Caenorhabditis elegans: one gene and its partner. The protein of the gene in region 1 purifies or fractionates together with the protein of each later gene. This does not show direct contact. Each region holds a gene or a part of one and is shown on either strand. Other genes may lie near its edges.

What was found.
Region 2: the proteins of apg-1 (region 1) and dab-1 purify together in Caenorhabditis elegans (affinity purification with western blotting, with the first as the bait; one study listed by BioGRID). This does not show direct contact.

What each region holds. Positions count from the first base shown.
Region 1 is NC_003279.8:14,404,221-14,409,132, forward strand, and holds the start of apg-1 (AP-1 complex subunit gamma), read left to right. Parts: upstream 1-1,807; 5' UTR 1,808-1,822; coding exon 1,823-1,884; intron 1,885-1,946; coding exon 1,947-2,151; intron 2,152-2,197; coding exon 2,198-2,322; intron 2,323-3,121; coding exon 3,122-3,818; intron 3,819-4,912. Other genes in the region: tcab-1 (WD_REPEATS_REGION domain-containing protein), read right to left, coding at 652-813, 862-1,018, 1,065-1,285, 1,334-1,429.
Region 2 is NC_003280.10:8,220,474-8,228,473, forward strand, and holds the start of dab-1 (PID domain-containing protein), read left to right. Parts: upstream 1-1,914; 5' UTR 1,915-2,002; intron 2,003-5,842; 5' UTR 5,843-5,856; coding exon 5,857-5,965; intron 5,966-6,246; exon of another isoform or gene 6,247-6,367; coding exon of another isoform or gene 6,368-6,428; intron 6,429-6,474; coding exon 6,475-6,530; intron 6,531-6,583; coding exon 6,584-7,003; intron 7,004-7,079; coding exon 7,080-7,720; intron 7,721-7,765; coding exon 7,766-7,913; intron 7,914-8,000. Other genes in the region: ifg-1 (MIF4G domain-containing protein), read left to right, coding at 1-264, 311-536, 608-769.

The DNA of each region.
Region 1 (4,912 bases):
TGAGGCTCAGAAAATTGTAGTTTGTAGTCTAACTTTTATTGATTGTTTTTTATATAAATTTTAAGGGAAATTTTTTTAAAATGTTAAATTCTGAAACTTATCAAATTTGCAGAAAAACGACTATACTACAAACTACAAAATGGTTGAGGCTCAAAAAGTTGTAGTTTGTAGTCTCGAAATGAATTAATAGGCGAAGATTTTAATTTTTCGTGGTTTTTCGAGTTTTTGGCACAAATTTGATTAAAAAGCAGCTTTAATTTGAAAAAAAGTGAAACATTTCTTTTAGAGACTACAAACTACAACTTTTTCAGCCTCACCCAATATTGGTTGAGGCTCAGAAAATTGTAGTTTGTAGTCTGAGCCTCAATCAATGCATTTTTGTTTAAAAAATTAGCAATTTTCAGTTATTTTTAGAGGTTTTTGGCACAAATTTGATTAAAAAACAGATTTTAATTGAAAAAAAAGTGAAAAATTACTTTTAAAGACTACAAACTACAACTATTTTTAGCCTCACCCAATATTGGTTGGGGCTCAGAAAATTGTAGTTTGTAGTCTCTGAGCCTCAACCAATTTTTTTTGGATTTTTATGTAAAAATGTCAATTTTTAAGCATTTTTTTTTCGTTTTTTTTTTTGCAAAAAAAAAAACCAACCCCAGCATCTTTTCCATTATAAGCACCGAGAATACTTCCATTTTCCGTATCAAATAGCTGAATTGGACGCAGTTTTGACGACGAGAACACCCCTTTTCCAGAGTTTTCCCAACAAGAATCCAGCACCAAATTTCCCGTATTATGCTTCCATATCACTTCTGGCTGCAATTTTTAGCGTTATTTTACAGAAATTTTGGAAGAAAAACCGACAGTTTCATCTATTTTATACATTCTTATAAATCTATCCTGTGAAGCCACAAGAGCCCGGTTTCCCTGTTCATTTTGAATGGAAAAGTGCACAAAATTATTATTTTCCGTTGATTTATAGCCGAATTGAGCGTTGTACGAGTTGAAAGTGGCTTTATCGCTGAAAATTTCAGATTTTTTGACTTAAAATTCGAATTTTCAGATACCAAAATGTATTTTTAAGATTTGTGGGGATTTCGGCGATTTCTACAGGTTCTTGAGCTTTTTTCTTGACTTCTTGGTCAATTTCCTGCATTCTCTGGAGTTTTCGCTTCTCTTTTCGATTTAATGGGCGGTTTTCTGGGATTTCTTCGGGAATTTCTTCTGAAGCAGCAGCCTCTGTGGTCGATAGCTCATCGATTTTCGACGCAAGATGGTCACTGCGGAGCTAAAAAGCAAGCGGTTTTTCTTTGGAAAACAAGTGAAATTTAATTACCGAAGACAAAAGCGACGCTATCCCGCATCTTTCAGCGCGGAGAGACGGTTTTTTCTCCTCCAATTCTTGTGAGGACGACGATTCTTCGGTGTTCATCTGGAAAAAATCGATTTTTTTGGCGAAAAGTTCAAGTTTCAGTGATTTTTAATCGAAAAATTGAAAAAAGAAAAAAAACAAAAATTAAATTCCCCCTACTACGGTCTGCAATCGGGTACCTCCACACCAGACCTCACGCGCAATTGCGGACTCGCCCCCTGCGTTGGATTGTAAAATGCAAAAAATCAATAAAATTGCAGTGTTGTCACTGATTTTTCAGCTTTTTCTAGTGGATTTTCGTGATTTTTTGATTAAAAAATTCATTTTTTCACTAATAAGCGTCGTTTATTTCACTTATTCCACTTACTTTCACTGCTGAGCTGTAAAAAAAACTAAAAAACTCCAAAAAAAACGTCAAAAAATGAGGAATTTTTGCAGGGTGAGGCTCCAAGGATGGCGACGGCTGTCGAGCTAGCCATTGAGAAGATCGATGAGTATAAGTCGAAGATTGGAAGGTTTGTAACATTAAAAAACTCAAATTTTTGCGAAATTTCCCCAGTAAATTCTATTTTTTCAGAACTCTCGGCACTCCGATGCGGCTTCGAGACCTAATTCGGCAGGTCAGAGCGGCACGAACGATGGCTGAAGAGCGAGCAGTGGTGGATAGAGAAAGTGCGAATATTCGAGAAAGCTTCCGAGACGATGATTCTCCGTGGAAATGTAGAAATATCGCGAAATTGCTCTATATTCATATGCTCGGCTACCCAGCGCATTTTGGACAGGTTATTGAACCGTTTTTCGCCGGAAATTAAATTATTTGTTATTCAGATGGAGTGCATGAAACTGGTGGCTCACCCCCGATTCACTGACAAACGAATTGGGTATCTTGGAGCTATGCTTCTTCTCGATGAACGATCGGAAGTTCATATGCTCGTCACTAATTCGCTTAAAAAGTTAGCAAAAACCCATGAAAATGAAAAAATCTTGTTTAAAAGCTTTTTTTCTGCGATTTTTCTCATCAAAATTTGATTTTTTGAAGAAAAAGCAATTTTTAAAGGATTTTCAATGCAAAAATGAGATTTTACAGTAAAAAATGCTATAGAAAACAAAAAAATCCGAAGAATTATTATTTTGGTTGAGGCGTAGACTACAAACTACAACTTTTTTAGCCTCAACCAGCAGCTTTGGGGAGGCTGACAAAAGTTGTAGTTTGTAGCCTAAGCCTCAACCAAGATTTTTAACTTGATTTTGCTCATTTTTAGTGATTTTTCATCAATTTTTACTATTTTTCGAGCTAAAATTAGTGAATTTGGTTCTAAAAACTGGAATTTTTGCTTTAAAATTCACGATTTTGCTAGAAATCCAAATATAAAACGATTTCTTCCAACTTTGGTGAGGCTGACAGAAAGTTGTAGTTTGTAGTCTTAGCCTCAACTAATATTTTGCTCATTTTCAATGTTTTTCATCGAATTTTCACTATTTTTCGACGAAATAATAGAGAAATTGGTTGTAAAATCCGGAAATTGAGCAAAAAAGGTGAAAATTTTGCTAAAAATCCAAATTTTAAACGATTTGTTTTCCAATTTGGTGAGGCTGACAGAAGTTGTAGTTTGTAGCCTGAGCCTCAACTAATATTTTGCTCATTTTCAATGTTTTTCATCGAATTTTCACTATTTTTCGATACAATAAAAGCAAAAAATCCCAATTTCCGCGGAAAACTCTATTTTTTAAAACTAAATTCTTCATTTCCAGCGACCTCACCTGTTCCACCCAATTCGTCAGCGGACTAGCTCTCTGCACTCTGGGCTCAATTTGCTCAGCGGAAATGTGTCGAGACCTGGCCAACGAGGTTGAGAAGATCATCAAGCAGAACAATGCGTATTTAAAGAAAAAAGCGGCGCTCTGTGCGTTCCGTATCGTTCGAAAAGTGCCGGAGCTGATGGAAGTCTTCATTCCATGTACCCGATCGCTTCTGGGAGAGAAAAATCACGGAGTTTTGATGGGCGCAACGACTTTGGTCACAGAAATGTGCGAGAAATCTCCGGATGTCTTGAATCATTTTAAGAAATTGGTGCCGAATTTGGTACGGATTCTAAAGAATCTTCTAATGAGTGGATATTCGCCGGAACACGACGTCACCGGCATCTCTGACCCGTTCCTTCAGGTCAAAATTCTGAGATTATTGAGAGTTTTGGGGAAGGATGACGTACGTGTCACTGAAGAGATGAATGATATTCTGGCGCAAGTGGCAACGAATACGGAAACGGCGAAAAATGTCGGAAACGCGATTCTCTATGAGACTGTACTCACGATTATGGAGATTAAGAGCGAGAGTGGCCTGCGCATTTTGGCTGTGAACATTCTTGGACGATTCCTTTTGAATACGGATAAGAATATTCGATATGTGGCGTTGAATACGCTTCTGAAGACTGTTCATGTTGATTATCAGGTTGGATTTTGTGGAAAAAAAAAAAAGGAAAAAATGGCGATTTTGGCTCAAAAATTGAGGTTTTGGCGGTGGGTTGAGGCTGAAAAAGTGTGTAGTTTGTAGTGTGAGAGCCTCAACTAAATTTATTTCATTTTATTTCTGTTGTTAATTTTAATAGAATTTTTTAAAAAATTATTCTGATGAGTTTTCAAAATGAAAATCGCATGTTTTAGTAAAAATTGTCGAGAAAAACAAGTTTTTCAACGAATTTTCGAATTTTGTAGCTTGGTTGAGGCTCACACACTACAAACTACACTTTTTCTAGCCTCAACCAAATTTGGGGAGGCTGTGGAGTTGTAGTTTGTATTGTGAGCCTCACTCAATTTCAGTTCATTTTTTGTTTATTTTAACAGAATTTTGAAAATTCAGTTTTCAACATGAAAATCGCCTAAAACTTGTCCGGAAAACCAAGTTTTTTGACAAATTTGCAGCTTGGTTGAGGCTCACGCACTACAAACTACACTTTTTCTAGCCTCAACCAGATTTGATGAGGCTGTGGAGTTGTAGTTTGTAGTGTGAGCCTCAACCAAATTTATTTTTAGTTTTCTATTCCGTTTTCGACGTGAAACTTAGCTTTTTAGTAAAATTTTGCCTAAAAAATCAGTTTTTCAATAAATTATTCCATTTTGCAGCTCAAACTGTGTAAATAATAATTGGTTGAGGCTTACACTACAAACTACACTTTTTCTAGCCTCAACCAAGTTTTTAGAGGCTGTGGAGTTGTAGTTTGTAGTGGGAGCCTCATTCAATTTCATTTTTTTCCGTTTTGAACGTGAAACTTAGCTTTTTTAGTACAATTTTCCCCCCAAAAAAACCCAGTTTTTCATAAAATTTCATATTTTGCAGGCCAAACTGTCCAAGTGATAATTGGTTGAGGCTCACGCACTGCAAACTACACTTTTTCTAGCCTCAACCAAGTTTGGGGAGGCTGAAGAAATGTGTAGTTTGTAGTGTGAGCCTCAACCAATTTCAGTTCATTTTCTGTTTATTTTATTAAAATTTTTCCGTTTAATACAAAATTTTCAATTTTATGATGAGTTTTCCACATGGAAATC
Region 2 (8,000 bases), on another chromosome or scaffold:
TGTCAGAGCCAAGATTATGAATACCGTTAAATCCGATCTTCTAGAAATGTCTAGTGGTGAGCTCTCCCAAAAGGAATTGGTTGACTCTATCACCGATTATGTTGGAAAAGAAAAATACGGTTCGCCGTCATTGACAGTAGTCTATGAGATGATTATCCGAGCTGTGATCGAAAAAGGTTTGAAGGATGATGATCGAAAGAAGTTGGCTATTGCTCTGCGGATGTCATTGGTCAGCAAGACTGAGAAGCAAGCTTTTATAGAGGGGTAAGGCAAGAGTTTATGATTTATTGAGCTTTACAAATTATTTCAGAGCTACCCGTTTCTGCAAATTCGCTAATGATGTTGAGCTCCAGCAAGATTATCCCAAATTGTGGACCGTTACTGGTGAAGTTCTCGTGAACACAAGTCATGCTCCACATGACGAAATTGGAGAAGTTGAATCTTTCTCATTAGCGGACATGAAGCCAATTTTCTCAGCTGCCAAAGGAGAAGGAAATAAGAAATTTGACCTTCTTGTTCAAGTTTTGAAGCAATTGGTGAGTTATTGCAAATTTTAGTGCTCAGATTCAGTACATTGCGTTTATTTTTTTAATTTAATTTTTTTCAGATCGAGCTTGAGCTTGAAGTGACTGGCGCTGCAGAAGGAATCTCGTGGGAGTTTTCGGACATGAAGTTAAAGACTGAGATGGAAGAAGGACTTTCAGCAGAAATGGAAGCAGTGACGTTTAAAAATGGAAAAACGTTGTCGAGCTATTTGACGGGCAACTAATTTATCGTATTTTTGGATTTTCAAACTCCACAGTAGATTTATAGAGAACTTTTTTGTGTGCTAAAACCCATTTTAATTATCTATATAAGAACGAGTTGTTGATAATACGGTCTAAACATGTCAAGTTTTTCGTTTTTTCGCCGCGCGTCCATCCCTACCGATTTTATGTCTTATTGGGTATCCCATTAATGGTTTTCGATATTATTGCTTGTTTTTCTTTTGTTAGAGGTTTGCAAGAAAAGTTTCAAAATGAATAACTGATTATCATGATTTAGCTGAAGTAAATCAATTTTCAGACATTCAGATCATTTTTCCTGCAAACTTCCGCTCATTCTACAACTCGTCTCGAAACGTGAAGATTCTCTTCATTTTTCGTTTCGAGACGCAGAAATCAACTCGTTATAGCCCCTTTCCCACCCACCTTACCCTTTTCTTCTGATGATCACTAAAAATATCACGTTTTCCTCCAAATCATTAAATATTTATATCCTCATTTGGATTCCCGTTTCGTTTATTTGCTCCCAGTTCCCATTTCTTTCATTCGTTTTTCTATTTGAATAACCCTTTCATAGTCTCCTTGTTTATTGTTTCTAAATTAGCTGTTGGTTTTTTATTGGTTTCTCCCTTCATATTTCCATACCAGTTGGTCCCGAGAACATTTCTTGCTATGCTTGTTTTCGTGCTTAAAGGGTCTTTTCTAAGAGACGGTCGAAAAGTCGCTGAATTTTTTCGGAGTGCTGGAATTTCGTTGAATTGCATCGAATTTATCGTAAAACGAAGACTTTTGACTAGCTCTTAGCTTCATTTCTTTTCCAAATTTCCTAATTGTGTGTAAGTCAGTGCCTTCGGTCTGATTCCTGGATCTTCTAGAAATTGTGACAATTGGTTAATTTTAATATCCTCTCATCAGCCCATCTTAAATTTTCCACTTCCTTGAATTCTACGTTTTTCCTGTTTTAACTAATTGTCCTTCCGTTATTATCATCATCACCACCTCCACCACAAATAAAAATGGGCATCAAAATTGTTTTTTTTTTTTTTCATCATAGTTCTTGTTGGGGTTGTTCCCCATTTATATAGCTTGCTCTGTTTTCTCATCAAATGCTCACAGTTTTACGTTGACTCGATTTTGAATAAATATTTAGGAAATCGTGTCACTGGCGAATGTAAATGAAATCTAATATGAGAAGGAATAATATAAACAGTAATCGAGAGAATTTCGCCGTTTCGCAGGTTTGTTTGAATTTATTTAAAATTTAGACCTATAAAATTAAATAGTTTTTGAAAAAATTTGCTACAGTAACCTTTGATCTACCCGCGCAAATCTCAATTCTTTTTTCGTTAGAAACTTCATTCATCTTTCCTTGAGACAGGTTTTCAATTTTTGTCATTTTTCTTTACATTATAAAATTTTAAACTTTATTCTCGATCTGCGTAGTAATGGTGATGCTTGTCGAGGTTTGCGACAATGAATAGAAGAATAGGCAACTGATTTCTTTCAATTTTATTCGCTTCTCTCTCTCGTCTTCGCCTCAAAACTATTCTCTCAGTCTAAGACAAAAAACTGGTCTGGACACAGTGACTGTATGCAGAGTGTTTTTAACCCTTTTCTACCTCTCGTGTGCGCGCACGCTCACATACACACGCGGAGGATGTCCGTGAAGAAAAGAAAAGTAGAAGAGGATGAGAGACGTAGACATGTCCAGCATGCAGCATTAGTAGGGGTCCCTCTTCAGTCGATATTTGTCTCAATTTGAGTGGAGGCAAAGGAAAGCCGGCTTTTTTGGTGATCTGATCCTGTCAGTTTTATTTATGCATGATAAAATTAGTGGTTTCTGAGGCGTCCTTTTTTAAGAAAACTCGAATATCTTAATTATAAAATTATAAAATATCATTCAATATCCCTAGTAATGAAATTTTCTACCTTTTTATCTGAGTTTTTAGACGAAACGATGCGGGTTTTAAAAGAGTTTTGGAGATAAATACATTCTGTTTCCAAAAAAATTAACGCTTCGTACTGAACCATATTGTTGACATGGTGCATAGTGACATGGTTTCCCGTTTCAATAGAGCTTAGTATAGTAGTAGTTAATTAATCTACATCTTCTCTGTATGCTTTGTAGTAAATAAACATTATTTTACTTTCTATTTTAGAGAACTACCATTGGTACTCACAAGTTTCGTTTTCTTGTCTCTATTATTTAGTTTCCATGATCTTCACAATTTTGGTTTGAAACCATTGTCCATGTTTTTTTTTCTGCGCAGTTTCGGGTAATTATCCTGTCCCGCCGTTCGTCCCCACCCAATCCTCCCGTCAACACCAAAAAGCGTTCGTTCCGCTTCAATTACTTGAATCGATAGATGTTATTCGTCAATCCTCGTGGTCTCGGCACGAAAAGTCCCTCGCTTTATTCACCGTCCCTCCCACTCATGCTTTTGTTTAGATGAGTCACTATTGTTTCTTTCCGCCTACTACTACTGACTCGGCTGCAATTTTGACCTCAACTCCAATTACTTACGTGTTCGATCGATTTGGTTAGTGTGTCCTTCAGATGGTATTGTTGTGTGTTGAAGAAGTATAACACATTTCTTATTTCGCATCTTTTATTGTGTGTTCATATTGGAATTATAATCCCTTCGTAGTACGGTCTCTTTCCAATAATTGTTTTGATGCTTTTGAGAATTTTGGGTGTTTCTCTTCTCGATTTTTTGTTTTCAATAACAACAACAAAAAGAAATAAAATTCATTTTTTCGAAGTTACTTTTTGTGTTTTCAACGGTCACCTTCAATTTCCGCTCCGAAAAAGAACCTGATTTTCATAAAACGTCCGCCGCCGCTTCGTCGTCGTCATCAACAGAATTTTATCATCGCATCAGACTTGAATAGAAGCGAAAACGAAAAAAAAGACATCATTATATTAATAGTAATTTTCTAATGATGGCCATGATCACAAGTGTGTTGAGATTTCTCCGATTAGTAGATGTAGGAGACGTTGATGATGATGGTGCTGACGAAGTATTCAGTTAGATGAACGTTATTCTGCTTCTTTTCATTCTCATTCTTGACGCCTGCTTGTTTTCCGTTTCTCCGGTTTTTGGTTTGCCTCATTTGAATATATGCTACAGTACTCGACATGAGTGTAAATACTTAGGTTTCCGTATCTGACAGCTAAGCTTATTACGATTCCCGACGGATTTGACATTAATAGACCTAGCTGCATTAATGTTGTTCCTTTATTTTTGTCCTTATAATAATGCTGAATAAGAATGATATTTTAATTATTTTTGAACCGAACAAAAAATTTGCGTAATGTGCAGTACCCTAAAACGATTTCAAATTATCCCTATCGATTTGAAAGTTTTTGAAATATTTTGGTAAATTACGCTGGTTAGGATATAATTATTATGTTGCTATTCACTGTTTCCCAAGTTTTCAATTCGATACTAACCCATATAAAAGAGAAACAAGATTTTTCTTGCCTTCGTGTCTAACATCTTCTTCCAATATTTCGATTTTCTTGCCCATTTTCCCATCCACTGTCCAGGTGACGCATTAATTCAACGCAGCAAAATGTGAAATCAAGATGTTACGTAACGGGGGATCCTAGCCTAGGAATCATCAAGATCAGAGAGGTAAAAGGACATCAGATAGAGGCAGATAAATTCACAAGAGACTGACTGCAGCTGTCTTTCTTTTACGTCATGTTTGCAAAATGACTGGCGGCATCCCCGAAGGTGTGTGTGTCCTGTAAATCTAGTAGTCAAGCACACATTGAGTTTTGGAGGAAAAGGAGGAGTGTTCCGGCGAGTTTCCGCGCGGAAGAAGAGAGTGTGAGAGCAACTTGATCGTCTGGTTGCTGAGCAAAGCTACGCACACCTTTTGGCCATGTTTCCGTCGTTCTGGCTATTGTTCCATATTTGTATTGATTTTCCCTATTTGGTTTAGTCATGAAATGTTTCTCTGCAAAACTTGACGACATTACCTGATTGTTGGTCAACAAATCTTCTTTATTTTTGTCGTTTTTGTTACACATAAGAGTTTTGGGATCGCCCAAACGATTTCCGATAGTTTTATGGCTGATTTCTCTTGATTTCGTAATAATTCAGATCCTCACAGTTGTCGTATTCTCCAGTCAACACAGTAGTGACTCACTTCGGTTTGGATGACTAACAATGTCAATCTGTTTTCGTTTTCTTTCTTCTACTGTGATTTAGTGTTCTATTATGCATTGACTATTACAATAATTAAGTTACAGTCCTGATCTCGATTTTATGAAACTAACTACATCACACACTACGTACTCCCATTCCTGTCAAGATTGTAATCAGCTGATGTAAAAGAATGTCCCCTGACCGCAAAATAAATGAAGAACAGTCTATTTTTCTTAGTTCAAGGTTGACTGTAATAAAATAAAAAAGATTGAATTGAATATTTGTAAAAAATCAATTTCTCGGCTTCATAGAATTTTTCGCCAGATCTTACGCGCTCGGTCTCGCCACGCGGACAACGGGTTACTGTAACTCGTATCAACTTTAGATTACGTCTACGTAATGATCTCGCGTTTTTTGAAATATTATTCTGAATCATGTCATAAATTAATTAGAATATATCGTCGCTCAAATTGGAAAGGTGTGTCTTCAAAATATTTGTCAGTATGAAATAACTTTATTTACCTAAGAATTATTTTCAAGATTGCATAGTGCTTTTGAAAAGTATTGCTATTTGAATCCGACATTTTTTCTTATTTCCATTTCGAAAGTAATAACAAGTACATATCCAGTGTCAACTTGTCACCTTGAAGTATGAAAAATGACTACTGCACTTTTTCACGGTCGTCTTCATTTTTTTGTATTCTTTTATTCCGATATGGAGATGAAAACCGGTCGATCATGTGCCCCCAAGGGGGCTGATCATGATTTCACCCTCCTTTCACACTCTATCCCCCACCACCACCTCACAATTCTTTTTGGTCTCACTTTCGTTCCAAAAAGCTTTGTTATACTCTTAGTTTTCTTTTACTGTAATTTTTAAATTCTATTTTTTTTTCGTTGTAATAAATCTTATTTCTAAAGGTTCTCTCGAAACAATGGCTCAAAAGTCGGATATATCAGTGGAAACGGCAAATGCAACATCTGGAAAACCAAATCCACCATCACCAAAGTCCCGACTTGCAATGCTGAAGAGAACCAAGAAAGGTGAGAACATAGCTGAGTTCCGAAAAAATGATTTCTCAATTTTTGAGAGTATCCAATTGTGAATGTAGAGATATCAATTTGATAATTTAACGAGAAGATAGCCTTTTTGCCAATTTTCAACAGATAGATAATGTTATCTTTTTGTTATCTATAACATTTTCAGGAAAGAGTTCAAAGTTTATTGGTTCACTCTTTCTTTTCCCCCAAAAACTTGTGACAATGATCTGCCAAGCAGAAAGTTTGCTCCTTTCTTCTCTGCGTCTCACTTCGTTTTCTTATCTCTTTACGCTCTCTAGCGCCCGCTCTATGTGATTTCTATATCGATTTCTAACGAGTGTTTGTATACTTTTAAACTCATTAATAGATTTTGCAAATTTCATTTTAAGTGAATACCTAATTATCATGAAAAAGACGCAATTAGGGCGTTCGTTTTCCAAATCATTCAAGCAGAAAAAGGCGCGGGGTATGATTTACTCTATAATTATCAATCTAAAATTTAAACTTTTTAGCATCAAATGCATCATCGGATCCGTTTCGCTTTCAAAACAATGGAATTTCCTACAAGGTGAGTTTTTTTTAATGATTCATGTAGTAGTTTTTGTAAAATTGTTATTTCAGGGAAAGCTGATCGGAGAACAAGATGTGGACAAGGCTCGAGGAGATGCAATGTGTGCTGAAGCAATGCGAACTGCCAAGAGTATTATCAAGGCTGCTGGAGCTCACAAAACACGTATTACTCTTCAAATCAACATTGATGGAATCAAAGTTCTTGATGAAAAGAGCGGCGCTGTTCTTCATAATTTCCCAGTATCAAGAATCTCTTTCATCGCTCGTGATTCTTCTGATGCTCGAGCTTTTGGACTTGTTTACGGTGAACCTGGAGGCAAGTACAAGTTCTATGGAATCAAAACAGCACAGGCAGCTGATCAAGCAGTTCTTGCTATCAGAGACATGTTCCAAGTTGTTTTTGAAATGAAGAAAAAACAGATTGAGCAAGTTAAGCAACAACAGATTCAAGATGGTGGAGCTGAAATTAGTGTGAGTTTTTAGAATAATTCCAAAGATCCAATGCATTTTTAAATTATAAAAGTCCATTGTTATGACTTTATAAAAGTTCCAGAGCAAGAAGGAAGGTGGAGTCGCCGTCGCTGATCTTCTCGACTTGGAATCCGAACTTCAGCAAATTGAACGAGGAGTTCAACAACTTTCAACTGTCCCGACAAACTGTGATGCCTTCGGAGCATCACCATTTGGAGATCCTTTCGTAGACAGCTTCAACAGTACAGCCACGTCAAATGGAACTGCAAATATGTCTGGAACTCAAGTGCCATTTGGAGGACTTCAACTTCCACAAGTTCAACAAATGCAGATGCCAATGGTTCAAATTCCTCAACAATCTCATCAGAATTGGCCAACATCCGGAGCTGGATCATTTGACGCTTGGGGACAACAACAACAGCAGCAACAAATGCACCATGCTCATAGTACACCTGCTTTCGGAACAAACGGATTCTCGGATACTAATCCATTTGCGTCGGCTTTCAATACTCAAGCTCCGCCACCACCACTTCCAACTGTTGCTCCAACACAATACCGTGATCCATTCTCTGTACATTCCTCTGCTATTCCAAATTCAAATATTGATTGGACTGGAACTGGGACTACGAAAGAGAATATGGCACCATCTACTAATATCCAACAACAGCAGTCATCATTGCATCACGCCAGCACTTTTGCCAACTTTGGAGATAATAAGTGAGTGATATTCTAAAACCTAAATTAATAATAATCAAAAACAAGATTCAGGGCCGAAACCTGGAGTGAAAAGAAGGTGACGTCGCTTGAAGAAGCTTTCACGAAATTGGTTGATATGGACGCATTGGTTGGTGGACAGGGTATCAAGGAGACAAAAAAGAATCCATTTGAGCATATCTTAAACCCACCAAAGGTACAATTTAATCTATTTTACTAGCTTTTTAGTTTTTATCTTTGAAAATTGAAAAAATTAGTGGAGTAGGAACTTGTGAAATTGTCC